Arabidopsis thaliana: one gene and its partners. The protein of the gene in region 3 binds, or shares a complex with, the protein of the main gene of each other region. Each region holds a gene or a part of one and is shown on either strand. Other genes may lie near its edges.

The links.
Region 1: SYN1 (region 3) and SYN4 share a complex: the UniProt entries of both Arabidopsis thaliana proteins name them as parts of the cohesin complex.
Region 2: SYN1 (region 3) and SYN3 share a complex: the UniProt entries of both Arabidopsis thaliana proteins name them as parts of the cohesin complex.
Region 4: SYN1 (region 3) and SYN2 share a complex: the UniProt entries of both Arabidopsis thaliana proteins name them as parts of the cohesin complex.

Annotation. Positions count from the first base shown.
Region 1 is NC_003076.8:5,314,555-5,322,210, reverse strand, and holds the start of SYN4 (sister chromatid cohesion 1 protein 4), read right to left. Parts: upstream 6,015-7,656; 5' UTR 5,711-6,014; intron 5,454-5,710; 5' UTR 5,429-5,453; coding exon 5,305-5,428; intron 5,131-5,304; coding exon 4,869-5,130; intron 4,770-4,868; coding exon 4,672-4,769; intron 4,587-4,671; coding exon 4,537-4,586; intron 4,171-4,536; coding exon 4,118-4,170; intron 3,665-4,117; coding exon 3,565-3,664; intron 3,350-3,564; coding exon 2,881-3,349; intron 2,802-2,880; coding exon 2,382-2,801; intron 2,279-2,381; coding exon 2,140-2,278; intron 1,839-2,139; coding exon 1,702-1,838; intron 1,602-1,701; coding exon 733-1,601; intron 658-732; coding exon 624-657; intron 403-623; coding exon 291-402; intron 188-290; coding exon 58-187; intron 1-57. Other genes in the region: ELF9 (RNA binding (RRM/RBD/RNP motifs) family protein), read right to left, coding at 6,715-6,841, 6,943-7,034, 7,145-7,225, 7,312-7,388. UniProt on the Arabidopsis thaliana protein: Involved in sister chromatid and centromere cohesion during mitosis.
Region 2 is NC_003074.8:21,995,542-22,001,256, reverse strand, and holds SYN3 (Rad21/Rec8-like family protein), read right to left. Parts: upstream 4,206-5,715; 5' UTR 3,996-4,205; coding exon 3,872-3,995; intron 3,639-3,871; coding exon 3,380-3,638; intron 3,295-3,379; coding exon 3,248-3,294; intron 3,159-3,247; coding exon 3,109-3,158; intron 3,001-3,108; coding exon 2,966-3,000; intron 2,851-2,965; coding exon 2,366-2,850; intron 2,274-2,365; coding exon 2,168-2,273; intron 2,091-2,167; coding exon 1,954-2,090; intron 1,856-1,953; coding exon 1,344-1,855; intron 1,254-1,343; coding exon 1,168-1,253; intron 1,083-1,167; coding exon 944-1,082; intron 863-943; coding exon 761-862; 3' UTR 520-760; downstream 1-519. Other genes in the region: AT3G59570 (Ypt/Rab-GAP domain of gyp1p superfamily protein), read left to right, coding at 54-227; AT3G59540 (Ribosomal L38e protein family), read left to right, coding at 4,515-4,517, 4,850-5,033, 5,338-5,360. UniProt on the Arabidopsis thaliana protein: May be involved in sister chromatid cohesion during mitosis.
Region 3 is NC_003076.8:1,622,198-1,629,753, reverse strand, and holds SYN1 (Rad21/Rec8-like family protein), read right to left. Parts: upstream 5,549-7,556; 5' UTR 5,430-5,548; coding exon 5,382-5,429; intron 5,192-5,381; exon of another isoform or gene 5,043-5,191; coding exon of another isoform or gene 5,025-5,042; coding exon 4,990-5,024; intron 4,760-4,989; coding exon 4,691-4,759; intron 4,566-4,690; coding exon 4,507-4,565; intron 4,428-4,506; coding exon 4,383-4,427; intron 4,270-4,382; coding exon 4,250-4,269; intron 4,147-4,249; coding exon 4,070-4,146; intron 3,936-4,069; coding exon 3,818-3,935; intron 3,322-3,817; coding exon 3,255-3,321; intron 3,167-3,254; coding exon 3,088-3,166; intron 2,905-3,087; coding exon 2,792-2,904; intron 2,524-2,791; coding exon 2,426-2,523; intron 2,355-2,425; coding exon 2,205-2,354; intron 2,126-2,204; coding exon 1,978-2,125; intron 1,899-1,977; coding exon 1,816-1,898; intron 1,721-1,815; coding exon 1,549-1,720; intron 1,455-1,548; coding exon 1,373-1,454; intron 1,267-1,372; coding exon 1,127-1,266; intron 1,043-1,126; and 7 more. Other genes in the region: MOP10 (Pollen Ole e 1 allergen and extensin family protein), read right to left, coding at 1-38; AT5G05480 (Peptide-N4-(N-acetyl-beta-glucosaminyl)asparagine amidase A protein), read left to right, coding at 5,590-7,416; EIF2 ALPHA (eukaryotic translation initiation factor 2 alpha subunit), read right to left, coding at 7,540-7,556. UniProt on the Arabidopsis thaliana protein: Involved in chromosome condensation, pairing and segregation during meiosis. Responsible for cohesion between replicated sister chromatids.
Region 4 is NC_003076.8:16,358,804-16,365,642, reverse strand, and holds SYN2 (Rad21/Rec8-like family protein), read left to right. Parts: upstream 1-1,764; 5' UTR 1,765-1,920; coding exon 1,921-2,044; intron 2,045-2,188; exon of another isoform or gene 2,189-2,582; coding exon 2,583-2,856; intron 2,857-2,936; coding exon 2,937-2,974; intron 2,975-3,052; coding exon 3,053-3,099; intron 3,100-3,256; coding exon 3,257-3,327; intron 3,328-3,399; coding exon 3,400-4,157; intron 4,158-4,236; coding exon 4,237-4,348; intron 4,349-4,433; coding exon 4,434-4,570; intron 4,571-4,642; coding exon 4,643-5,226; intron 5,227-5,338; coding exon 5,339-5,375; intron 5,376-5,597; coding exon 5,598-5,619; coding exon of another isoform or gene 5,620-5,623; exon of another isoform or gene 5,624-5,706; coding exon 5,707-5,839; intron 5,840-5,936; coding exon 5,937-6,032; 3' UTR 6,033-6,312; downstream 6,313-6,839. UniProt on the Arabidopsis thaliana protein: May be involved in sister chromatid cohesion during mitosis.

The DNA of each region.
Region 1 (7,656 bases), 3.7 Mb from region 3:
AAGACAGATTCAAGATCAGAGTTTTTTTTTTAGTTTAGGGTTGTGTTATGGACATACCAGGGTTTCGAAAAACATTCTCGATGCTTCTTTACGGGTTTTCCCAGCTAAAAGTTTGTCTGCCACAAGAACATTCTTCCCATTCTCGGTTTCTTTATCAAATAACGTCTGGAGATACTTTGCCACAGCCCTAAAAGTAAAGAGAATCAGAAGCTTTCATAATTCAAGCCCATCACATCACGTCTCTCACATGATAGAAGCTAAAATCTGAGCAAGTCATAAACTGTACAGACCTAGTACGAGAAGACCATCCACTGTTTTCTAGAAGACGAGTTTCATCATCATATTGTATGTCATCCTCCTCATGATCTTCATCTACTTCATCATCATCGACGTTCAAAAATCCTGAAGACACGAATGCAAGAAATTAATAAGAAGAACCATTGAGAAATCATCGGGAATAGCACTAGCAGCATCTCGTATCCAAATTATGCTCCAAGTTTAAGCTTGTTGAGTCCAGTTTTGAACCAGGATATGATGACCAGAGTATCAGTCCCATTGATCAAATGAAGAGGATACAGACCATTTGGAAAAGAAAAGAATTGAAATTCGAAAAGGCTTAGAACCTGTGTCATGTGCATTTTCCATGGTATCCATTTCCTACACCATAAGATAACAAGAGAGTCAGGGACATGTCTTACTTGAATAAGGATATGACGCAACAAAGAAACTTACATCATTGTCTCCCATAAGACCATCACGAGAAGTATGCTCTCCATCTAATGCATTTTGCATAGACGCCTCCTCATTAGACATCTCATTATGCGGTTCGTATTTGTTATAAGACTCTGTCTCTGGATTCAACCCATCACTATTCGCTTCCACCAGAGGTTCATTGCAATTTTCCAAAGCCATGTTACTCAAATCACCAGCTTCTAGGCATCCAGTTTCAGTAGACCCAACTGTGTTATCGCATGGAGTCTGATCGTCTCTCCCAAGCTCGCTAACTTCAGCTGATGCATCCGTTTTCTCATCTTCATGTGGAAGTTCATCTTCAACTTTCAAGTCCATCTCATTGAAAATGGGGTTGATATCTGTATCGCCTTCAGCAATTTCAATAACGTCAGTGCAACTTTTTTCATTAGGATCCGCACAAACATCCTGCCCGCCTTCTCCATCATGGTTTTCATGGGATTCTTCAACCTGTAAATCCTCTACACGGTCGAGTTTTTCCTCAGACGGTATTTGACTGACATCGTCAATCACTACAAGATTTACTTCATCAGCAGCTCCATTGCCTTCCTTCAAAACCTCCAAGTCAGATTTTTCAGCAAGCTCATTATCATCTTTCAGCTCTTCCTGTTGGTTTATGGTTTGTTCCTCCTGCGGGTGAGTATGAGCCGTACCAGGTTGCTCCTCACAATCATTTGGGTGAGCTTGCGGATCAGAGCTTTCTTCCGTTTTATTTTCTTCCACGGCCGTAACAGAACATTCATTATCTTCCACCGCTCCAACAGAAGCATGACGGTCATCATTCTCAATTATCATGATTCCTCTTAGATCATACGGCTCAGTGTGCAGAGATACTAATTCCACTGACATACCTGAAAATCAGTGAAACATATTAGCTATATAACTGCAGATTATAAGAACAATCAACAGAACGTGTATAGAACGGTCTACATTTTAGTGTCATGAACTTACCAGTAAATATTGGCTCCTTAAAGAGTCCATCCTCCAAAGCCTGCCTTTGAAGCATTACGATTTCAGGAACGGTGCAAGGTGCCTTCTTTCGCACGCGCCGTATATCTTCAGTGTTTGTCAGTTGTTGACGTATAATGCTAAACAGAAAAGTAGGCAACATCAGAAGAAAACAAATACAAATTGAGATAAGGTAAAAAAATATCGCTCCTAGGTAATTAAAGGTGTGAAACTTAAAAGAAGACCAAACTCCAATTACAGTAAAGAAAAAATCAGTAGTCAAACGAATTCAAGATTCACATTAATTTACTTCTGACTCTAGCTGTCTTGAACCTAAGTAGCTAAAACAAGAACTTCTATGAAAGGTCCACTTGGAGCAGTGGAACAAAAAAACTAAGGTATAAGAAAATCAGATATAAGAAAACAGTAAGACAAACATACTCGCCATGCAAGACCATAGGGTCATCCATTAGAACCTTCCTCTTTGTGGCAGTAGAGCGGGGAGCAGATCGTAACCGTTTTGTAGTTGCTGGTTCAAGCACAGGGGTAGGCCTCATCTTCAGAAAGGATGACTTTCCAACTGAAAAAAAAAAAAAATTCAACGATAATTGATCCATAAAGCTAGCTCAAAGAGCAATAGAATGTATAAAAGAACAGACAGAGTATCCAAAATAAACTGATACCTAAGATAGAAGACAACAAATCATCGTCATCAGGGACAGAATCTGCAGTTCTCTTTGACTGAATCAGTCCAACTGACTCCACAGAGTTCAAACTTTCTGCAGTTAGTGTGCTCTCAGTAAAAGTGCGTTTTTTCCCAGTAATGTTATTATTCCCCGCATCATCATTACATGTGCCAGGGTCTTCTTTATCTGGTGTAGATTCAACCATGAAATCATTTCCATCCCCCTGTCTGTTAGGTACAGCTAATACCTTCTCAGGTGGAGGGAAATCAGAATCGGTAAATCCAGTCAAATTTCCCAACTGTTCATCAGTTTCGTGTGCATTATTCAGCTGCCCATCTGGTCTACTGTACGCTTGCTCATCTCCTTGTAAACTAGAATCTGTTTCCTGATTGACCTCAGTGGCAATGGCAAAATGATCTGGCAACAATAAAAATTATAAGCATAAGGCAGGCACTAAGATGTCGTATAAGGTTTGCAATTTTCTTTGCCAACAAACCTCGGTTCTCTTCTCCAGGGGTTTCAAGTGGAGGAACAGCATCGGGTTTATCAGGTACAACATTAGCTCCTGCCTCATTCATTACTTGACCAGGATCCTCCATCTCGGTGGTGATGTGAGAACAACATGGAGATGTAACATGTACATGCTCTGCCCTCTCCTCCTCCGGCTCATTTTGTGTGTTGACATTTTCATCTATCTGTGACTTATCTACCTCCACAGGAGTAACTGCTGATTCTGGGGCATTATATTCAGAAGACAGGTCTTCCCCACGTTTAGGCATCTCATTAGCATTCAGCTCCCCAGAGGACTTTATACCTTCTTCTGCATTCAGATCCTCTACGTCCATGTGATCATCGCATGCCATCTGCTCTCTCACACTAGACGAGTTTGGCACCTCAACTAATCCAGGAGTTTGAGGAGCTTGAGCATCTTCGATGAACTCATTATTCATAGCAAGATCTTCAACCTATCAAAAAGAGAGATTCACAATACTATCCAATAGTCTTACCAGAAAAGTAAGCCAATAAATCTGTGTAAACAAATTGTAAATTTGGAGTCTGTAACTGCAATGTACATTCAGACATAATGCAAAGTAAAATATATCACATTAAGCACTGTGACTCAGGTGACAATTATTAAGCAACTATAGGTATGCCCTCGTGCATTATGTATGGTACGCACCTGCTCTTCATTAAAATCCATGGGCATGGCTTCAGAGACTCCTTCCATCGAATCCTTTATCCCGGGTGCTGCCGCATCCAGATACGCGTTGTGATCAATACTATCAACAAATAGAATATCTTACATAAGTAAAACTTTTGATTGATAATTTGCACGTCCAAATTATGCACCAAAGGTCCACATCCAAGAAGGATAAGACTCACAGAATTGCAGTTCTAATTCACAATCCAATTACAGAACAAACACAAACTCAAGGTATGAATGTCATGGAACTTAAAAAGCATGGTTACAAAGCTTGAAACACACACATTCAAGCGCCAAAACGCAAAGCTTTTTATCATTCAGTCAACTCGAGATCTTCCCTAATGTGAGCATTTAAAATCTATGATAACAATCTGAAGTAGCGGTATGAAAATATAGAAAAGGTACTGAACAGCTCCAGAAAAGAAGATCAAGCTGACACTTCGATAGTTAATTTGAGAGGAACCATAGGGAAGCATAAAAGCAATTATGCTACAAAGAATATAGCCAAAGATAATGAACAAAAACTGACCCTGGAACTCCCTCATCGTCGGATCCAATAACATCCTTGTCCTGGAATACTGCCTGCACAACAAGAGAGGAATGATAAAAGATCACATCCAAAATAATAAGAGAGAAGTTCTGATTGCAAATATGCAAAGCTTCACTAGAAAAAGAAAACATCAACATTATCCTGACGCTACAACATGACTGCAACCTAACACTTCAAATTACAAGCTTTTCACGGTCTAGGACTCCGCAACTGGATACCAATCAGAGCTTCCAGCTGCTGCGTCTACCCAAACAGAGGAGAGAAAGAACCCAAAATCTAAAAGCAAATGAAATCTACAGATAACCTCTTCATATTCAGCTTTCTATATGGTTATCCTATTTCTTGTTCCAAAATGACTTGAACAAAGTAGAAAATATCTATTATAAACACAAAAATACCTCATCAAGATCCAAAGCAGCTTGAGAAGTGTCGCCATCACCAAATCGCTCTGCAAAAGTTTTAAAATGACTTTGCTTATCTACGGCATAGCTATCTACAAACTAAAGACAAGCAAATATGAAACAACCACTGACCATCTAATCCAAATTGTGACGTTGAGTATACAACGCCATCCATGGTATCCTGAAGGGTGATCTGCTCTTTTGTACTAACATGATGATCAACGTAATTACTGCTAGACAGGAAAACAAGGAGCAACAAATAAACAAATTATGCAAATTGGAGTAAGAGTGGAATACGAGTTTGAATGTTAAAACATAAAGAAACCAACCCCTGAAAGATCTCATTGTCTGGAAGCTCAAAGTCATCAAGATCAAATGTCTCTGGCAACGTAATAGAGTGATACGGCGCTGTAGATTCTTCAGGGGGTAGGTCAACAGCAGCAGAGCGAAAAGCTTGCTTTACCTTAAGCAATGCCTCACTGCAATCATCAAAGAGGTAATTCACCTTTCTCGAATATATACGCACAACACCAAGCAGAAGATGACTAGACAATCGCAATGCAATCGGAGCTTCCGGAAAGAGAATAGAATCTGCTCAGAAAAAGAAATTAGTTATATTAGGAAATATTTTAGATGAACTTGTTTAGCCACATAACAACTGAAAAAGAAGGAAACTTTAGCTTCTGCTAACCCTAGTGAGCACAACGAACTGAGACCTGAATCAGAGGTATTGTACACAAAAGCAAAAGGTAGCAAAATACTCACCAACGGAGACTCCAATATCAGTATCAGCGACCTGATTCTTTCGAAGCTTCCTCTCCAAATGGGCAGCAATCCATATTGTCCCAAGTGGCCCTTTCTTAGCTAATATAAACTGCGAATAAAACATTCCTCGTCCTCTATACCAAAAAACCCTAAAAAAATTCAACAAAAAGGAACCAACTTGTTAGAATTTCACCGTAACAAAATTGAGCTTCAAAAACTATTCAGATAACAAAATCCCTTTCTTCAGCCCCAAAGATACGTCTATAGAGAATCAAAAAAAGTTTCCAAATTTCGACAACAGAATCGAAATAGCTCAAACCGACAACAAAGTCTCGCAATTGCCACTGAGCAGAGACACTAGACTACTTCGGTAAGTAGAATAGAGAGCAAAGGGTAGATCAATTACCGTAGAATTGACCAAGCTCAAACAAGTCCAAAACAGCTCGATTTGAACAGAGTCCTCGCGGAAACCCTAATTCTCAGAAACTTGGAAAAAGAACACCCAATTTGGGTAAAAGCAGAATCTTAAAGACACAACTCTTTCTTCTTGGAGATTCAGACACAACAACAGCCAAGGAAAACAGTAAAATTTGTGGAAATTGCGATATGCAAAAAAAACTAAAAAGTTTCGAAATTTGGATCTTTGGTTGATTTTTGATTAAATGAGGGATTTGGTGCGGCAAAGAAACACATGTTCCGTGACATACGTCGTTCTCTCATTGGTTAAGAGATTAGCGGGTCCCGCATAGCTTTAGATTTAGATCATTTTTCAACAATTTTTGTTTTCGTCAACTAGCCCCAACAGTATTTAACTTCATTTAATTATTACTTGAAAATATTTTGGGTTTTTCCATTTTTTTCAAAATATTTCAACTCGGCGGCTTCTTTTGCCTCATTGCGGGAAATCTGAAAAAAATCGAAACTTTTTAATAAGAAAAACAGAAAAATAAAGATTCTGTTATTAGAGATCATCTGACAACATTCTGCTGTAAAAGTATGAAATTTAGGTCCAAACTACAATACAAAGTATTTTAAACAAATGATTGATAGAAACAAAAATTCATGTGATGGTGTCACACAAAAACTGCTAAGTATCATGATTTAACAAATAAGGAAAAAATATAGTGAAGCATAACTTTTAAATTCCGATTTTTCAAATTTCTAGAAGAAAATCGTATTACATAGTAGTAAAGGTTTTTAGTCAACGAATATCAAAATACACTTGCAAGTGCAGTCTTATTCGTTAATTTCACTACAGGTAATACTACTAGTACTAGATAAAACCGGTCCTCTGGGTTTGCGTTGGTCTGATTCAGATGTGTCTGTGCCTAGTGATTTACATCAGAAACCTGAGTTTCCCAGAATAATAATCCAAATCTTCCCAGCTTTAGATCATTGTGCTTTTGTTTTTTACTCAGCAGCTTCCAGTTCAGCTGCAAACTGATCTAACCGTTCCGCTTCCAAATCAAAATCCCTAACTGTAGCATGGTTCACTGATCCATCATCGAGGCTCGCATGTATCTGTCTCTTTGCATACCTGCATTCATCCAGAAACAGAAAGAAGTACATGTAAGCATCAGACTCAATACCGACTCTAATGGCAATTAGGCGGAAATGATGACTCAGGAGAGTTTGTACCATCGACCGTTCATTGCTTCTATACATTTCTGTGCATCTCTCCGATCCTTGAATCTTACAAGAACAACACCCTGTGGATGATGCTCACATACCTGTAAAGAAGAGATTCGATTGGTACTCCAAAATAATCTCAAGTTTTCCACAAAGCTATATGCAGCAAGCAAGACCACCAGCTTAAGATAAAAAGAAATCATATTATTACCTTCACTGAGTCGAACGGTCCATGCTTCAAACTCTCCTCTTTCACGTCTTCCTCTAACTCAGCAACCAGATCCTCATCAGCCTGCAAACAGAGTAAATGCTCAAAGCTATATCAGCTACTCTTAAAAATAGCAACATTTCTCATATTAACTATTGGACAAGACCTACCATCAACTCAGCTGGACTGAACATGTAGCGCAGAACAACCGTTGCAGGTATTGAGACCTTAGAATCATCTGTACCACCTACGTCAACAAAAGAGAGGAAATGTGATAAAATTTAGAATCCACTAGGAACAATCTCCAACTTCAACAACTAAAATGGTCATTTCTTTTGATTTTAATATGCTCAAAATCAACTAGGAATAATCAGAAATAGATAATATTGACATGACTATATGTTCCCTTTTGATCCATGCATCCGCAATGGCCACTGACCTAAATAAACATAGTAGGAGGAAAAAATGGCTCAATAACAGGAAACGCTCATCAGTTAAGATATCACAAGTCACCA
Region 2 (5,715 bases), on a different chromosome or scaffold from region 3:
TGTTGCATCTGGCAATATTCCATCCTCATATCGAACTGCATACCTTTTATTAGAATCAGGTAATCAAGATTGAGAGCCACATTCAGTCTCAGAATCATAAACACCATGAGATACAGAATCAAACCGCGATGGAGAACCAAATCCCAGAAGAGATTACAAGTCATGATGAGAACTGTAGCCAAAGACCAAGTTTATGCAATGGTCCTGTCATGCCCCTTAGAGAATGATGACTGATGAGTACGATAGATTCCACCTATAATTTATAATATTATTTCTAGATTTCCATAGTCTGCTAAGATATACAAAAGAAGAACAATTGTAGAATAGGTAGGTCGTCTTTAGATTTTGAAGAAGGTTTTGCTATAACATTTATGAGGTTATCTATGTATACTCCGTTAATTTATGTGATCGATATCTTTGATTCCATCGGTACACATGTTGAGGCTTGAGAGCATCTACACATGTTGAGGCTTGAGAGCATCTAGCTCCATAATTCACTCCATCACAACACGTGCTAGTCTTTCATTTCCAGAATCATAGAGAATCTCAAAAACTTGTTTTTTTACAACATTGTCAAATTTGAACTCAAGTGAAGTATTGGCTAATGATGGAATTTAGACGTTTGTCCATCTCTTAGGGTGAAGCTTTACTTGTACACAATGTAATAAAACCAGGGCTCAAAAAATTAAGAATTGACTACTTCCTCGTCTAGCTTCAATGTTAATAATATACATAAGTAAGTTTATTAAGCATTGTTTATTCACGTTTGAACCTTAGAAAAAAGGGCAGGCATCAACTTCAAAGCGATATCTCCGTATGGTCGGTCCTGTTGCATATCTATAAGTCCCCTAGACTTCAAAACCTGCAAATTCAAAAACAACTCGTCTAAGCTCGAGGCACTACAGAGATACAAAGAAAAACATATGTACAGAGAATCACTCACCAGTGTCTCGAAGAACATTCGAGCAGCTAGCTTCCGTGTCTTTCCTGCCAAGATCTCGCTCAAACTTAGATCTCCAGAAGGATGGCTTGATGTGGTGGGACTACTTGAAGAACGTTGTTTAAGATACTGAGCCAAGGCTCTGCAATGTTCAATGAATGTTACAGGTTAGTAGAGAAACAGTAGGCTCTTAAATGAAATCCACATGGTTTTAGGAATATATATACCTTGCTCTCCCTGTCAAAGCAGCAGAATCTTGACTAGCTGGTGTTCCTACTGGGGAATTGCCACCTACCTCCAGGAAATAAAGTTCCTGTATGGCACATGCAAATGGTATTGCTATCAAGGTTAGCAACGCACCAAGAATGGTAAAAACAAAACACGCGAACATGCGAGAACAAACCTCGTCAGTCCTTTCAGAAACAGGTGAAAGCCCCAAATTTCTTTGGCCAGGCAAGTCCTCTGGAACTGTGGAAGTTGAAGGCTCTGTTCTATAAGATTCTGTCTCCCAATTTCCAGACTGAGTGGTGAAGTCATCGGTTCTAAAAGGTGAAGATCTTGGAGGTGGTGACGGCATGTACACCGGGAAACCACCATCCCTTAAATGTTCTATTCCCATGTCATCGTTATCAAATGTCCGAGGAGATTGTGCTTCTGTTGCTACAGACTCTGCATGCGCGGGTCGAGGACCTGCAGAGTCTAGGACATCTTCAGTTTGCTGCGCTGGAGATAGCTGAACTGTACTGTCTGGATTAGTAGAATCTGGAATTGGAGAGACCGGATTAATTTCTACTTCAGCTTCTCGAGTAGGAGATACAGATGCAGGTTCTGGTAAAGTTTCATCAGAAACAGCAAGATGTGGCTTTGAAGCTACATAGTCCTTTTCAAAGACATTGCGTAAATCATCTGAGAAGCCTGCAGGTTGACACATACAGGCAATAATCTTTCTTCAAAAACAAAGGGAAAAAGAAGGCAAAACTGTCGAAAATAAAATAATAATCAAAGAAAGTTACCAGTAAACAAGGGCTCATTGAAATTTTGATCCTTCCTTGACTGGTTATTCATTCTCCAAAACTTTAATTTGGATGAAGGCATCTTCTTTCTCTTACGTAGAGTATCACTAGGATCCTTAAGCCTTTCACTTATGTTCCTGTTCAAACTATTTGATCAGTACGGAACAGCTAATGAAATAATCAAAGCCACATGAAGCAACGGAAAAGTTATTACTTGTTGGTTAATACTGTGACACCATCAAAGTTCTTCCTCTTCCTTGCCCTTCTTTGTGGTTGGGGAGGAGGAGATGGCTGAAGCACCAGTTGAGGTGATGGATGCACTTAACATAAAGAAAAAAGTGTTTTAAATAGATAATAAGAGAGAGAATGTAGTGGTTAAGCTTCAAATTATCAGACTATGTTGCTAGCTCACCAAAATCTGCACGTTCTTCCTCAGAACCAGCAGCAGAACCTGGAGATCCTGAGCGAAGCTCAAACGCAGAATGCCTTCCAGAATTTAACATTTCTTCATCAATACTAGGGATAGTGGGTTCCTTCTCATTCAAAGTTTCATCCAATGACTCAGTGCGTTCAACTCTGACATCCTGTTGTTGTGCAGCAAATGATGGATGGGACGTGGGGCTTAGATCATGTGCAGCGTCACGCATTCTCTCAATCTCGGGAACAGTTCCAGGAGAAGTGGCATCGTTTCTCTCGGAATTGGGAATGCGCTCTTCTGTCAAGTTACTTTGTCTAGGATCCTGGACTTCAGTGAATTCCTCTGTGACGTTACGAGGACTATAGGTTCCAGTATCGAAAGCAATATTGGAGTCTCTTGGCTCATTGTCTGGTCCTGTCTCATGAGCCGTTTCAACATCAATTTCTCCGGTATGCCTACTCACAGGTTCTGTTGATTGGCTGCTCAAAGCAAAAAAATATGTAACAACATTATTAAAGAAGATCAACTAAACAGATAAGGAAGATTAAGAGCAAGGTGTAGTAAAGGAAATCAAAACTCTATGAAGAGCCTCACTCGACATCCATCGGGATAGATTCTGAGATGATGTCCTGTAAGAAAGGCATACAAACTTTCATTCAATAACAAGTGCTCGGAGACATGGGAAACAAGAAGTCAGAATCAACTTCAAAGTCATAAGAAGCAAGCAGTAATCTCACCTCGTCGAATGTTACAGCAACATAAGGATCAATGCCAGTAGGAATTTGATCTGAAAAATAAGCATCAACATCATAAACACCTCAAAATCATGGTATGCTGCATCTAGAACCAAGGAAAAAAAACACAGACAAAAGGTACCTGTGAGAGTGATATCTTCCTCACTCCGAGTATGATTATCGAATTCCCTAGAATTCACAAGAAAAGAATGTTAAAGATGAGTCAGGCTTTAGAACAGATAAAAACTCAAATAAAAGCAAGAAAGAAGAATACATGTCGAGAGTGTCATCTTCCAAGTCGAACTCGTCCAGATTTAGTGCTTGAGGCAAAGTAACAGACTCAGGCGGGGCCTGTCTGGCATCCTCAGGCAAGTTAACTTGAGTAGAAACGAAAGCCTTAGCTACCCAAGTATTAAGGAGATTCCAGTCATTGTAAAGATAATCCACTTTCTTTGAATATATTCGCACTACCCCAACTAGAAGGTGACTTGACGTTCTCAATGCCAATGGTACTTCAGGAAACATTATATTATCTGCAAAGCCAATTGCAAAATTCTCGAAAAGTCAGAAACTTTATTAAAGCAGAGAATTTCAATTACTACAATGGGTTATATATAAAAAACAAAATCGGAATTTGATGAATGCCCATGTAAAAATTCGTATTGCCTTTTTGAAATTTCGAATTGGATACAATCAAAGGGGATTCAAAAAAAAAAGAAGCGAACTTTGGATCAAAAAGCGAAAATTGAAGATAGGAAAGACGAACCAACAGTGTCGGGGATGTTGATGGAGGTGTACTGAGACTTCTTGAGGCGTTGGTGCACATGAGCGGCGCACCACACCGTCCCCAATGGACCCTTTCGAGCCAAAAGCGTATGTGAATAAAACATTTTAATTCCTTCGAACAAGGAGCCCTAAAGAAGCAGAGATGGAGATACTGAAGTTGATTTGAGAGAGAAGGATTATCGAATCGAAGGTGTTACATTATTTAGAGAAACCAATCAATTTTGAATAGGAAACTGCAGAGCGAAAGAGAGAGAGACGAAGCGGTAGGGTTTTGTGTGCTTTTGGAGAGAGGAAGAAGTGTTTTTTTAGTGGAGCGGGAAAAAACATTTTGTGGCGCTAATGTTGAAATCATAGGCAAATAGACGCAATGACTTAAATACCCTTTTCTTATTGGATCCGAGTTTTTTGAAATTTGCCAAACAAAACAACTTGGGCCACTAAACCCAATGGCCAACTTTTCGGATTAATGGGCCTAAGGGGTACATTTGGAAATTCGCGTATATGAGAGTCTAGGGTTTTCTTCATATTTAGGTTTCTCTATTTCTTTCAGACGCTGGGTTCTTGCTTTTGCTGTTTGTTCTCTTGAGTGGAAGAAAGTTGCAGCCACTAAATCAGATCCGACAATGGTAAAGTTTTCTTCGCCTCTCAGTTTTATTATTCTCAGGAGGATTATTGAAGCTAAATATTATTTGTTTGATTATCTGTTCTCACGACTAGGATTTTAGTAAAGTTTGCATGATTGAGCTGAAAGTAATCAATCTCTTATTGTGGGTTTCTTGTTTGGTTACTGATAATCTAGTAGATTAGAGTCTTCCTCGTAATTGACCCATTGGTTTAAGTTTCATCTTGAAATGTATGAAGTGTTCATCATGCAGTAACATTTGGGTCGAAGTCTTGTTGTGTGTTCTGTTTTGTTTTGTATTGATTGAAAATGGATGTTGGTTTGGATAATCTGCAGCCGAAGCAAATCCATGAGATCAAGGACTTCCTTTTGACGGCGAGAAGGAAGGATGCAAGGTCTGTGAAGATCAAGAGAAGCAAGGACATTGTGAAGTTCAAGGTCAGGTGCTCAAGGTACCTCTACACACTATGTGTCTTCGACCAAGAGAAGGCCGATAAGTTGAAGCAGTCTCTTCCTCCAGGTTCACTATCTCTCTCTCTCTCTCTCTGTGACTCAGCCCAAACATTACACACTTGAAACCTCTTATCTCATAACATTTGTTAGATTGGATAGATGTTCCTAGCTTTGAGTAATTCATCACTTGAAAGTTCTAGTGTCATAATATTGTTGGATTTTGGTTTTTGAATTCGAATAGTCTTGTGGTTAATCTACTTTAATTCAGACACTTTTAATTGGCATGTTTAGGTCACAAGTTATTTTTGGTTGGTCCATGAACGCATGCGTCTATCTCTATCTAAGTTGAATTTGCCAATTGTTTATTTCAGGTTTGAGTGTGCAAGACCTTTGAAGATCTTATGAAATCAGGATCTATCATGGTTTTATATACCCTTGTCTTAGATGATTTTGTTTTTTCCCTTTCTGCTGTCTTTTGAATGACTATGATTCAGACTTCCGTTGAGTTTCTTTCTTATAACTTCAAGACTAAATTATGAGTTGGATTTGTATTTTTTTTTGCTATCAACTTGGTTAGTAATATATATGGCCCCAACAGTTTGGAGTTTTGGATAGTTGTGCTTTGAGAAGAAAGCAGACACCACAGATTTCATAAAATGTTCATTGCTATGTGATGCCAAACAAACTACAGAAAAAGTTACTGAAAAAAGAGTAAAACGTCGTAATGGAGATGATTGTAACGTCATCAT
Region 3 (7,556 bases):
ATGACGAGAACGGAGAAGGGTAAGGCTCTTGAGTCCATGTTACTTGTTATACACTCTGCTTCTTAAACTTCTTCTTCTTCTTGATGTGTGATTCAGGGGTAAGAAATATGCGTATATATAGAAACATATAGAGGCTGGTATTTGATTGTGTAATTAGTTTAATTTTTTGAGAAATTTGACAAATTGTATGAAACGTGTGAGCGACTAATTATGAAGATTATACATGTATTGTATGAAATGGGGGCAGTTGCGGCTTATTACGTGACTGCCACCATTTTCTTTGTCAACGGAGTATATATTAAACTATTGTTTTGTTTATGCTCTGTTCAATACATCTTCTAAGAAGACTCAATATATGCGAGTAAAATACTTAAATTATAGAATAATGTAAAAATTAGTTTCAGATGTTTTCGGACAAAGCTAGGATGTGATGATGTATGAGGTACTAATAACCATATAACAAAAGGACCAAACAGAGGAATTTGGGTAAAGAACGCTTGCTCTTTATAACTTAAAAAAGTCTACGAACTCTCTCTGCTAGAATATGAAAAGCAAAACAACTATGGATAATCGGTTCACCAGAATCTTTTATAATTTAGAAATCAAACCTTACATGTTGGGTCCTCTTGCAATGAGAATGTCCCCATAAGGCTCTGCTTGGTTTACCTTGATGACTCCGCGAGTAGCTAACACTGGACATATAAACAATAATCATAGTCAGGTTTTTTTATGCTCAAAGAAAGTGAAATTAAGTTGAAGTAGAAGTTAGTACCACAGGATTGGAAGAAGAGTTTAGCTGCAGCGTTTCTGTCCATTCCAACAGCGAGCTTGTTAAGAGATTCCACTTGAGGAGCTCCAGGTGTTTCAAAGTGTGTCTTCAGGTGACTGTGTTTCGTTTATAGATCTCATCATTGTTACTCAGTATATAGATTTGGCAGATAATTTTGAATCTCTTACCTTTTGATGCTATCTGTTATCATCTCGTCTGATTGATTGCACACTGGCTTTTGAGTCTGTGTAGATGCAGTTTCAAATAGTATTTCTGTGAAAAAGAAGCCACGTTAAGGTTTGTAAGATGGTGTTTTTGAAAGTTGTATAGGATCAAAAGACAATTAAAAACTTCTACCTTTATCGGCTGTGAAGCGTTTTTCAGGTAACATTGAAAACTCAAACTCATATTCACGGTGCTCCCACGGTCTCTCTTCCGCCACTGGTTCGAGTCCTCTTCTTGGTGAGGAATTTGGTCTTTTTCTATTGGGCATGCGACTGATTTGGTAAGCAGAAGAAGATTTAGTGATCGTCTTCCAATGGAAAACTTGTTTGTAAGTTACTATTGGTTTTAGTATCAGAGAAACTTAGATGTGTTCTTAACCTTTTAGAGCTGATCTCTATGTTGTTAATTGAAGCTGCTCCACGTGCGGATGGTGTACTAGGCATGGATCTCACATCATCTCCTGTAATTCCCATGAAAATCAAATAACTTACGCTAAATATTCCACAATACCAAGCTATGATCTGAAGACTGGATAAAATAGAGAAGCTTTTAACCAGAATAGAATGGCGTGACATTAATATCAGCAGCCTGGCGGTTAATAGTTTCAGGGCTTGCTCGAGATCCAGCCATCATGCTTTCTACTGAAGCACCTTTCCCAGTACGAACTGTCCGGAGTATTTCTGCGGGACTATCAAGATTTTGGGAGCTTGTGTCACTGCGCTCATGCTGCATAAATCCACATTCTGTTAGAGAGAATATGAAATGTGCCTTTCTCTTATTGATACTAAACTTTCAGGAAAGAATATGCTTCCGCGACTTACATGGTCTGTTTGATGGTGGTTATGCATTCTCTCCTGAACAAACCCTGGAGATTGTTCCGCACGGAGATCAGGATGTCGAGATTCTGTATCGACATTTCCAAATGTCAGATTCGTTTCAACAAGGAGAAAACAAAAAACCAACAGTTATGGATAGAGAGAGACCAGATGATGAGGTTTGAAGAACTTGAGTATTCTTTGACCAAAGCTGGTAAAGCTGAGGCGGGTAAGAACTGTCCTTTTCAAAGAGTTGTGTAGGTGGCATATTCGCACGTTTGAAACTTTCCATGTCTGGCCGGATAGTTCCTCGAACCTACAAAAAGATGTCAGATGTAAGGCCAACATGAGCACCAGTTAATACAATAAAGGCCAATGAGTTCAAAAATTTGAACCTTTCTCTTTTCCCCCCTACAGAGAATGTCAGAAGTATCCTGGAGCCATGACTGGTAAACATGACCAGCGATAATAGTTTGCTCATAATCCATCGCTGAAGTAGCTGTCTTTCTTGCTCTCTTTTTCGCTGGTTGTGGTCTATCGTGTTCCTGCATGCAGAACAAAACCCAATTCAATGTATTTTCTACTAGATGAGGGTATTCCTAGTAAGTGAAAATACCTCTTTGTCCGGTATGTTTTGTTCCTCCATCTGCTCAGCAAATCCGTCCCTACGATTCTCCTGTTGCTCCTGGCGCTGAGGGCTTGTGGGGTTGACTCCTGCAGATGGCTAAAGATTAGTAAATTTGTTCTGCTCTGTTCACGAAGCTCAGTGTTCATATCATTCAGAAGCTTCAACAAAAATACATTCCCAGGTCACATACATGATTATTATACAAGAGACTCGCCCAAGTCATTGTTATTGGCTTCATAAACTTAACACTATTTAAAAATTGAAAACAATTTCATCTTTGACTCAAAAATTCATATCCCCATACAATAACCAGATGTCACGATTATAGAAGGGAAGAGTGACATAACTATCTACCTTCGGGAATGTCATGATGACGAGGTGGTGATGGGATGAGAGTTGTAGGTATTTCAGCGCCTTCTCTTGGATTGGAGTTCATCTGTGTTTCATCATCTCCTTCGATGTCAAATCTGAGATGCCATTAAAAAGCAGAATAGAATAGAACAAATCATCACCAGCTTTTTGCTGAAAGGTGGATGAAAGAAAATACAGAAATAGTGAAACGCTACAACTTCTACCTTCAACAGTTATTCGAGAAGGTTTAAAATCTGGGAATTAAAGACTGAAGATAGATAGTGGGATTGAAAGCTCACCTTTCAAAACGATCATATGTTTCATTGTTGGTCTGGAATGAACCATGATACTCAAAGAGTGTGATATTCTCGGCATCAGCTGAGAATGTTACAGAAATTGACAAGCGGATAAATGTAAGTTATTAACATGTCGTATACTCACAAAGGTTTTGTCTCAAGATACTCACCTTGATGGAACTGCTGTCCAAGATCTTCTGGCTCGGGGTTATTGTTAACATGGGATTCATCTAACCGCTGCAAAGAGATAAAACCACGCAATGAATTAGATCAACTGAAGATGCACACGAGTAATCATTGGTATACAAGGAGATGAACACTACTATGATCAATTCACATTAACAGTTGCATCTTTTGTGCATTGTCCATTTCCACAGCCCATAGGTTACACGTCAAAATCTTAAGCGATGTTCAAATGATTTTGGTTTGAGTTCATATGCTTCAAGTTCCAAAAAGATTTTCCTTTGAAATATTCACCTGTAGACTAAAATGAGGCTACTCATAAACCACATGCTTGAGTTAGACCAAGTCTTAGGTGCCCTTTATGCGCCAACTTATTTACTCCACTTTTATGGGCAATGAAGAATGATGGCTACTGATTTTTCTATATCTTATACACTGTTTTAGGTTGGAGAGTTCAAGCCACAATTCTACGAATTGATGAATATTGAGACGTAGAAAGAAAATAAATACCCAATTCAATCTAGAATTCACAGGGAATTGAGTTGATTACCATGGAAATAAAAGTCTGCTGAAAATCCATGTAATTGCCAAATTTAGGAACATTACGAGTCTGTTCAAAATCTCCAAAATCAGCTTCTTCGTTCTCAGGCAATGTAACAGCCTCTTTCCTGCAAACAAAAAAATCCAACACGCCAATCATTTCTATTATTCTTCACGACAATGTTCTTATGTTTACGATTTGATCCTTCAGAATCCTTCAATGGCATGAGAAGCTCCTTCAAGGAAGAAGATGTGACATTACCTGGCATGGGTTTTTCCTTTAGGTAGTAAAGTGGGATCCGGAACAGATTTTGTGCGCCAAGCTCCATTAATTTCAACCTGAGAAAAATAAACACATGTGAAAATCCAGAAATCGAGGTACGTGAATATGATTTTGACGGGGAAACAAAAAATAGAAGAGGATCGGAGAAGATTTGATTACCAGAAAGCGATTAACATCATCTGAAATATTGACGGAAAATAAAACCCAGAAAAAGAGCAGAGTCTCATCAGAAAAAGAGGAGAGTGTAAACTTAAATCCCAAAATTCAAAAATGATTTGAATCAGAAAATTACCGAATAGGAGCTTCACTTTCCTCTCATAAACAATCACAACACCACCTATCGAATAAACAAAACATTGAAGAACCCAGAATGTGAAGAACTGAGGAAAAAAAAAATCCGATGAGCAAAAGCATACCCATAAGAATCCCGGAGAGTCTAAGAGCCATCGGAACCGACGGATTCAAAATCTCTTCGCTGTAAGAGTAAAGTAACCAACAAAAATGGAAAAATCAACGTTCGTTTTCATGGCAGGAACACCAAAAAAATCGAAGCAGAGTAAAACCCAAAAAAAGGGCGAACACTATCTCATCTCCTCTCACCAGATTTGAATGATATCGAGCTTATCTAGTTTCTTCCGGTTGATCTTCGCGTGCAATGTAGCGGCCATCCTTAAGAAGAAGAAAAATCAAAAACAGAGTTTAGAGATTTTACTCTATGCATTCACTAATAATCCATATACAGATCAATCAATGGAAATCGCAGTGACGATTTGAAGCAGTGACAAGTGCTTGATCGCGACAAGGAAGTTCCCAGCCGATTTCAAAAACAGATACAGAAACAGAGGTTGCAAAATCATCGTGATAATCGGAAAACGTTTCACTGATAGAATTTGACTCACCATATCTGACCCAACGGAGCTTTTCGAGCTAGAAGCTGGTGAGAATAAAACATGATTCAGCTCAAGCAAAAAAAATCCAAACTCAGGAAGAGAAAAAAAGAGAAGCGAGTCTTTGCGTGGAGAAGAAGCTGAATCTGAGTAAATAGTTTTTTTAATGCGTTTCTTTATGTGTAAATTTGTCTGTATATAGATTTATGAAGCCGCCATGAGAGCTTAAGAAGGGAAAACTCGCAGTGATCGTAGCGGGAGAGGAGAGAGTAAGCATGTCAGGAGAAAGGCTAAAATTAAGTGACAGTGACGAAAGTGTCACTAGTAGCCCTCTCTTATTTTGACACGTGCACAGATTATAAGTAACCACACGTGACGCTAAAATAAATTTCGAATTCCGTTACCGTCGCTGGTCCCCACACTGTTACTATCAAACTCTCCAGTCTCAACATTTCCTTTCTACTATCTGCCAATTTAGGATGTCAAACGACACGTAGTTGATTCTCCGAAATATAAAAACGCTTTGGTGTTTAATTACGTCCCTTCTCTCTCTCCAGTCTCCATTGAAGTTCGCATCGGCGAGCTCGGATAATCAAAAACACAGAAGCTATCATGCCAGAAAATCAAAACGGCGCCGTTAAGTTCTTCTTCACACTTGCTTTTCTCACTGCTACCGCCGTTTCTCGTCCTTCCTCGCCGGATCGATTCCTTAGATCGGCTTCGACTTGTCTCCGGTCACCGGTCGAGCCTCAGGAGTACGAGGAGCTCAGGCGGCCCCTACCGTCCGATCAGCTAACGCCGTCATGCTCGCATGTCCTCTTCCGCCATTCATTCGCCAACACCATCAACAGACCTCCTTTTACCACTCCATACACTCCCCCTTCCAGCTGCATATCGCCGCCGTGGTCTTATGTTGTACTTGACCTACGCGCCGCCTCGAGTGGCGATCAGTACGATCGTATCTCCGGCTTGTGGCTCGGCGGAGTGGAGCTACTTCGCACCAGTACGGCGGAGCCGAGTCCATCCGGAATCTTCTGGAATGTTCGGAAAGACGTCTCTAGGTATTCCTCGCTCTTTATGAGATCCGATTTAAATGTCACAATGATGCTTGAGAACATAGTCAACGATGTTTACACAGGCATCTATCATATCAATGTCACCCTCATCTTCTACGAATTCAATCCTATTGCGTCAAATTTGAAGATTAGTAACAGATTAGGGTTTGTGGATTCCCAGAAAAGAGATCAAACCCCTGCGGATTTGATAATTCCGGTATGTGACGGAGGGAACAGAGGGTTCTGGTTCATGATCGAGAACCCCAGAGAAACTTACTCAAAAGGAATTCAAATTCCGTCCAACACTCGTCAGATTGTGCTGGAACTATATGTATCGTTCCATGGAAACGATGAGTTCTGGTATTCAAACCCGCCAAATTCTTATATCAGAACGAACAATCTAACAACCGGGCGTGGCAATGGTGCATACCGGGAAGTTTTTGTTAAGATAGATGGGAGATACGTGGGATCCGAGGTGCCATTTCCGGTGATCTTTACTGGTGGAATCAATCCCTTGTTCTGGGAACCAGTTGTAGCAATCGGTGCCTTCAATCTACCTTCCTATGACATGGACTTGACGCCATTTCTCGGGTTGCTTTTAGATGGAAAGTCTCATGAGTTTGCGTTTGGGGTCAACGATGGGATATCATACTGGCTTGTGGACGCTAATTTGCACCTCTGGTTAGATCACGGGTCTTCGAATGTTGAAGCTGGGTCTAGACTTTATGATAGCCCGAGTCGGCATATGATGAGACAAGAACAGCTTGAACAGCTTGATGGGTCGTTTAAGGTTGAAGCAGAGGTAAGTAGTGAATATGATGGCTGGGTTAGATCAAGTAAAGGTAATCTGACCACCATGGTCAAGAGCATGTTCAAGGTTGACAGCTTGGTGAGGTTCGAGAAAAACGGAACATACAAGAGGGTTGAGCAGAGAGTGAAGACCGAACGGATCGTGGAGGTGACTTCTGAATCGGGTAAACCGGTGAATCGAGTCGTGCACCAGCGGACATATCCTCTTACAGTGATCACTTCTACTCTTAGAGGGTTAACCAACGACAAGGATACGTATATGCTCGTGACGAATGTTTCACACGCCTTGAATGAGACACATTCAGATGGAGAGGCTTTGATCCAAGTTTATAGCAGACAAGACTCAGAGGGTTGGATGGAGGTTGAAGATCACAATGTCTTGGCTGGTGAAGCGAGCACAAAACAGAGTCTTAGCTATATCGATGAATTCAGCTGTTATTCCCGCACCATCGTTGCGGCTAATGGGGAGATTGCCCAGGACAGTTCATCTGATTCTTGTACTTCGTCTTCATTCTCAGAGCTCAACACTATTGAGCAGCTTATCATAACCAATGTTATGAAACACTTGTCGTGAATAAGAGATGCTTGTACTACTAACCATGTTTGGGGTCAAACAAAAAATACTGTTTTTGCTCAAAGGGAAACAAAATTGTAGGATCTAAAGCAGAAACAGCAGTTACAATGCTTTTGCTTTTGTTCATTCAATTATCCCGC
Region 4 (6,839 bases), about 15 Mb from region 3:
CAAAGACAATTACTTAGGGTTTAATTGGTTTTCCCTTTGTCACTCGCAAACGCTGTATTTGCGGGTGCTAGCGATTGTTAGCGATTGACATCAATCATAGAAACCGCTAGATACTGCTTTACACCGTTCAAAATCGCCAGATTTCAAAAGCTCATTCCCGCAAGCATTTGCGGTTGCGGGCGGTAGCAGTTAGGTTATTTTTTTTTTTTAATTAATTAAAATAATTATGTCTTCTACCCAAACCCTATATATCTTATTCTTATTAAAAAAAACCTAATCAATATTTAACGGAAGATTCCAAAGATCCCAAAATCAGATTTCTAAGTGATGTTCAAAAAGAAAATATTCTTAAGAATATTAACGACCAGTTTGGGAAAAATTTGAGTTGGAGATGTGTTAAAAATCGTTTGGATATCTTGAAGAAACTTTATCATATGTATAGAGGCAATCCGGAAAACCCGCGAGTTCAACGTTATTTATAGTTTATCACACTACTTGATGCAATTTTTGGTATGTACCAAATGCATAAAGTATTAAACTTTTTCTTACAAAATTTATTTATTTTAAATTTAATGTTTTATTTATGGTTTTAATTATTAAGCATGTTTAATTTTTCTAATATTATCAATTTATCATAATAATATATTGTATTTTTCTTTCTTTTAATAGTAATATATTATATTTATTTTGGTTTTTTATTTAATTACTATCACACTTGCTGGTTTACCGGTCATAAAACTCCCGAAAACGCACCCATTATCAAACGCTTAACCAGTCGTTTAAAAGGCTTGATAACGCTTAAAACCGCAACCGGCCGTTTCCGCAAACTTGCGCAACCGTAACCGCACCCGCTGTATTTAAACCAGTCAGGCCCTTATATAAGAATTGATCAAATTATTGGGCTTTTAAGAGTTAGGTCGAGAGACTTTTTATTGGGCATAATTTTATTCTATTCAGGCCCATTCGCAACGTAATGCCACGTCGGACCAATGGTCTATGAGATGTCGCTGTCACTTAAACGCCACGTAGACTTTTAACCGGACACGTGTTATACAAAATGACTGTGCGCAGTTATAAACGTTTAAACGCTCTTAACGATGCGTGAAGGAGTGAGACAGCTCACATTTCCATCAAACTAGTCGTTATCTTTTAGTGTGGTAGTATTATATTATTTATTTACTTCTTTTTCTGTAGAATTTAGAAAAGGTAAATATAAATATGAAGTCAATAATCAGCATTAGCATATTTCAATTCAATTGTTATCTTCGTTGATTAATTTTTAACAGCAATGTTTTTTTTTTTCCTATTCAAAAAATTAACTTGTATATATATATATATATTTTGTTTATCCAAAATTAATTAAATAAATTATAAATTATCTAATACTATCAGACTATCACTCCCTCCAAAATTATTTTTTCTATTCTTATGGAAAAATAGGAAATTGCACAATTAAAAAGGAGAAGGTTTTTTTTTTTTTTTTTTGATCAACAGAGAAGGAAGTATCAATTAAAAAAAAATGCATAATTAAGAAGGTGTGATTTTCTGGTCACCGTCTAATTAGGAAAATTTAAATTTATGACACCTAATTCAAAACATTTTCAATTTCCAAAACTACATAACTTGTCAATAGACTTTAAAAAGTTTAATTACTCTAAAACGACTTGAAAATAAACAGATTAAGCGTGACTTAACAAGAAAAAAAAAAACTAAAATTAAAATTAAAAGAAAAAAAGTTAATCGGTTTAGTAAGAAGCTTGTTCCGTACACCGCTTGACCGTTTCCTTCTCCTCAATTTCTTCTCTCCCTCGCTTCACTATTTTACGAAGTTGCTCGCTCTCTCTCTCTCTCTCGCTGCTCTCTTAAAAAAAACTAACCTTTGTCTAAAACCCAGAATCTGGTAAACCTTCACACTCAAAAATGTTTTACTCGCATTGTCTAGTATCGAGAAAAGGACCTTTAGGAGCTATTTGGGTCGCTGCCTATTTCTTCAAAAAGCTTAAGAAATCTCAAGTCAAAGCTACTCATATTCCTTCTTCCGTTGGTTTGTCTTTCTCCTCCTTCACATTCTTCTTCTTCTTCTCTCTGTTCTAGTTAGAGATTTTTCTCCGGCGATTGGAAAAGTGATTGTTTGAGTGAAACTTTGCAGCTTTAGTGGATTTTTTAGCTGGAATAGAATTTTAGGGTTTCGTTTGTATCCATTGGCAGCGTTAATTAGAGATCACTGTTGATTTTGTTGGGGTCTTTCAATGTTACTTGTTTATGTTCATCAGTTGTTTGACAAAATGCCTGAGTGAACCTCAGAGATTGAGTTCAGTGATTTATTTTAAGTCTGAATAGTATCGAATCCTTAGTAGTATCAATCTGCCTTTTCTCATATAAACTTAAATCTAAACATTTCATCTTACTCACTTAGTATCAGAAAGCTGCTGGTCAACGCTTAGTTTGCTTGATCTCTAAAGTACTTGTATCCTCGAGAAAGATGGACTTTTTTTCTACAACATTTGACATTTTCAGTATTTTTTACTTTAATGACGTTTCTGATGTGTAATTCTTCGGGGGTTTTTTTTTTGGATGCACAGATCAAATCTTGCAAAAAGAGTTAGATGCGTTGACATACAGAGTTTTGGCGTATCTTCTTCTTGGTGTTGTAAGGATATATTCCAAGAAGGTTGACTTTTTGTTCGATGATTGCAATAAAGCGTTGATCGGTGTAAAGGAGTTTGTGGCTAAGGAAAGGAACAGAGAAAAGACAGGTGTATCATTGCCTGCATCTATCGAGTGTTTTTCCATTGCTTTACCTGAGAGATTTGAACTAGATGCTTTTGATCTTGGGGTTCTGGAGGATTTTCATGGGTATGCTTGTTATTTCTATATAGAATGTATTTCGCAGAGATTCTTTCATAGTCTCAACTCTTTTGTTTCTTCTTTCTCAGGGGAAATGTTAAGCCGCATGAAGATATTACACTTAAAGGTATCTTATCACTAAAGTCGTTTAAAGGGAATCTCATCACTGTTCATTTACTAATACCACTGCACTGCGATAAAACAGATGGAAGTCAGGAAACAGAGCGCATGGACATGTATTCGATGGAAAGGGTATGGTTTCTCACCTTATAGATTACTGAGTGTGTAACTGTTAGGTTCTAAGCTACTACAGCGTATATTGACATTGTTTCTTCGTTCCATTCCTTTTAATTCTGGTAATTTCGTGAATCTATATATGTAATAAAGATAATGCTTTGTGGAGTTGCAGTTTGACATGGAAGAGGACCTTCTGTTTACGTTTCATGAGACTTTCTCTACCAATCATAATGAAAATAAACAGTGAGTCTGATATTTTTGGTTCCATACATGTAATCGGCAAACACAATCCTAATTTTCTGTTTGTTGTTGCAGTGAGAGTTTTGCTCATGATATGGAATTGGATGCAGAAAATGTCAGAGATACCACTGAAGAAGCATCCGTCAGAGTCGTTGAAGCGGAACCACTGGATTCTAATGAACCATCCAGAGATCATCAAAATGCATCTAGGCATAGAGAGGATCCAGAATCAGATGACATTCTTCTGGAACCGCAAATGTCCGAAGATATCCGAATAGCTCAAGAAGAAGATACAGTTAGAGAAACCATATGTACCATTGTGCAGAGACTAGTGGATTCTCATGAATCCTCAGGAGATAATCTACACAGAGATGGTCACACAGAGAATTTAGAATCGGAGAAAACCTCGAAGAAAACAAGTTGCGAAGAGATGCAGCATGACAGGTCCCTCCCATCTGAATGCGGAATACCTGAAGCAATTCATGGGATTGAGGATCAACCTTCTGGTGCCACAAGAATTAATGGGGAGAAGGAGATCCCTGAGATGAGTACTCTAGAAAAACCAGAACCAGTATCTGTGACTGGTTCCAGAGACTTGCAAGAAGGCGTAGAAAAATGTCGAGACCATAATGAAGCGGAAATGGCAGACTTTGAATTGTTTCATGGGTCTCATAAAGAGCAATCTGAAACTTCTGAAGTGAATCTCCATGGTTCCGAGAAAGGTTTTCTCTCTGACATGACTGTTTCTAAAGACCCTAGTAGCGAATTTAATGCAACAGATACTCCAGTTACTGTCACTCCCAAAACACCTTCCCGGTTGAAAATTTCTGAAGGTGCACACTTTATTGAAATATGAGCTTAATATACTTTTAGTTACGTTTTTAGCGTGTTAACCTATACTTTGAATTACAGGGGGAACAAGTCCACAGTTCTCGATCATCCCTACGCCGGCTGCGAAGGAGTCTTCTCGAGTTTCACGGAAAAGAAAATGTCTGATAGATGATGAAGTGATAATTCCGAACAAGTAAGAGAACTATTTGTAACCTGGATTAGATTCGTCTGCAGAGTTCCGTACAAGTATGTAATATTTGGTTCTTTTGTTATTGTAGAGTTATGAAGGAAATGATAGAGGACTCAAGTAAATTGCTTGCAAAACGGAGAAACGTACCTCATACTGACTGTCCTGAGAGGAGAACCAAACGTTTTGCCAATCCTTTTCGAAGTTTTTTGGAACCTTTGATTCAGTGTAAGTAAAACCTGGTAATCCGCTGTATATCGTATTGTATTGTTGTGTTTGCTGATTGTTGTAATCCCGCAGATGGTTCTTCGGACCTCCAGTCGCTTTTTTGTCAACCCATCAAGCTTAAAAACTGGGCAACCACAGGAACCCCTAAAGATACTAAAATCGCTAGACATAAGGAAAAGTCTTCTCTTGACACTGTCAGATCTCCTGGGGTTATTTTATCTTCAGATCAGACTGAGAATACTCAAGAAATTATGGAGACTCCTCAGGCTGCTGCTCTCGCTGGGCTGAAAGTGACAGCCGGAAATAGTAACGTGGTTTCGGTTGAGATGGGAGCAAGTTCTACAACTTCTGGAACTGCTCATCAAACAGAAAATGCCGCAGAGACACCTGTGAAGCCTTCAGTTATTGCTCCAGAAACACCCGTGAGGACATCAGAGCAAACAGTGATTGCTCCAGAAACACCAGTAGTCTCTGAGCAAGTAGAGATTGCACCTGAAACGCCGGTGAGGGAATCAATGTCGAAAAGATTTTTCAAGGACCCTGGGACCTGTTATAAAAAATCCAGACCTGCAAGTCCCTTCACTTCCTTTGAGGAGCACCCGTCTGTGTATTATGTGGAAAATAGAGATCTTGATACGATTTTAATGAACGATGAGGTACTGCTGTGTTGCATCCTTCTGATAGTAGTTAAAAAGGTTTTTATAGTTCTTTTAGCCTATCTTATTTAATTGCAAGACTGAGCATTTTTTTTTTTTGTTTCTGCTTCAGCAGGTGAATGCAGATGAAAGACAGGACTTACAACAAGGTAAAACGCATTCTGAATTTTTGTAGGTCTCATGAGTGCTCAGGCTTTTATTGATTTAGTAGACAAGAATCTATTAAGTTTCTGAAATTATATGTAGCTTTGAGTGAAAGTTTCAACCATCGAAATATACGCAACTTATTTGGAATCCAAATCTTATCAAATTGTTCTTGTTGCATGTCGATCATCGTGCTGCGTCCTTACCATGTATATTTTGATTTGCAGAGACATGGTCCTCAAGAACAAGGTAACAGACTCACACTTTCGGTATCAACAGCTTCGATTCGCTTACATTCAGATGATTATCCTGGTTTTCTGACGCTGGATTGTACAGGAATGTGGCGAAATTCTTGGAAAAGACGTTTTTGGAACAGAGGGAAAGAGAAGAAGAAGAGAAGGTGAGTTTGTTGCAACTGTGTAGAGGAAGAACTCAGAAGGAAAGCGCAAGACTCTTCTACGAGACTTTGGTATTTCTCAATTTTTTTACAAGCACATGTCTTCACCGTTTTATCTGTCTCCATGAAAGACTTAAGATGGAGAAACTCTCTGAATTTGATTTTGCAGGTGTTGAAGACCAAAGGATACGTGGAAGTGAAGCAAAATCATCCATATAGTGATGTTTTTCTCATGCGTGTTTCCAGACCACAAAAAGCTTGTTGAAAAATGGATATTTTCTTCACTTAAGATTTTCCTCAGATTTCTTCAGTTAGGTTTCAGATTAATGTTGTTAGCTTTTAGTATCTTCTAACAAAATAGCTATTTTTAGTTTTTCTTTTAAGTTAATTTTTAGTAAGAATAATTGACGATCTAAAGTATATGTGTCTTATCAAGTTTTTAAGTTTTTAAAGAGTCCTTAGCCATGCTATAGATTGTTTTAACGACTAGCAGAATTGTTAACATGTGATAACGGGTGCCAGAGTTTCGTTAAGGACTGATAACGCTACATCTATTTTGATCAACGAATTTATATATTTCAAACGTTTATAAATATTTAGTTCACTAGATTTTAACTCGCGGTATATTGCGGGATGATTTTTTTTTTTAAAGTAGTATATATCAAAATTTGCAAAATATATGTATTTATAAAATATTGATTCAAACATATTCATCATATAACACCATTTCAAAATCCAAAATATAATTTATTCTGTAATTTTTTTATCCGTCTCGTAATTTGTTTTTTAAAAATATTAATTTCTAAAATTTAATAATTATTTATTATATATAAAAGTATACAAGTTGTATTATTCTCTAAGTCATTTATATTTTATAGTTTAACTTTATATATAATAACATTATACCACATAACATTTTTGGTTTTATACAATTTTTTCTAAAAAAATAATTTTGATATGTCTAATATTGGTGGTCTTAAAAAATAATAAATTAAAAATTTAACCCGTATTAAAGCGGTAGATTAATGATATTTTAAGTTTTTATTAATATTGAATCAAAAATCTATCCCTT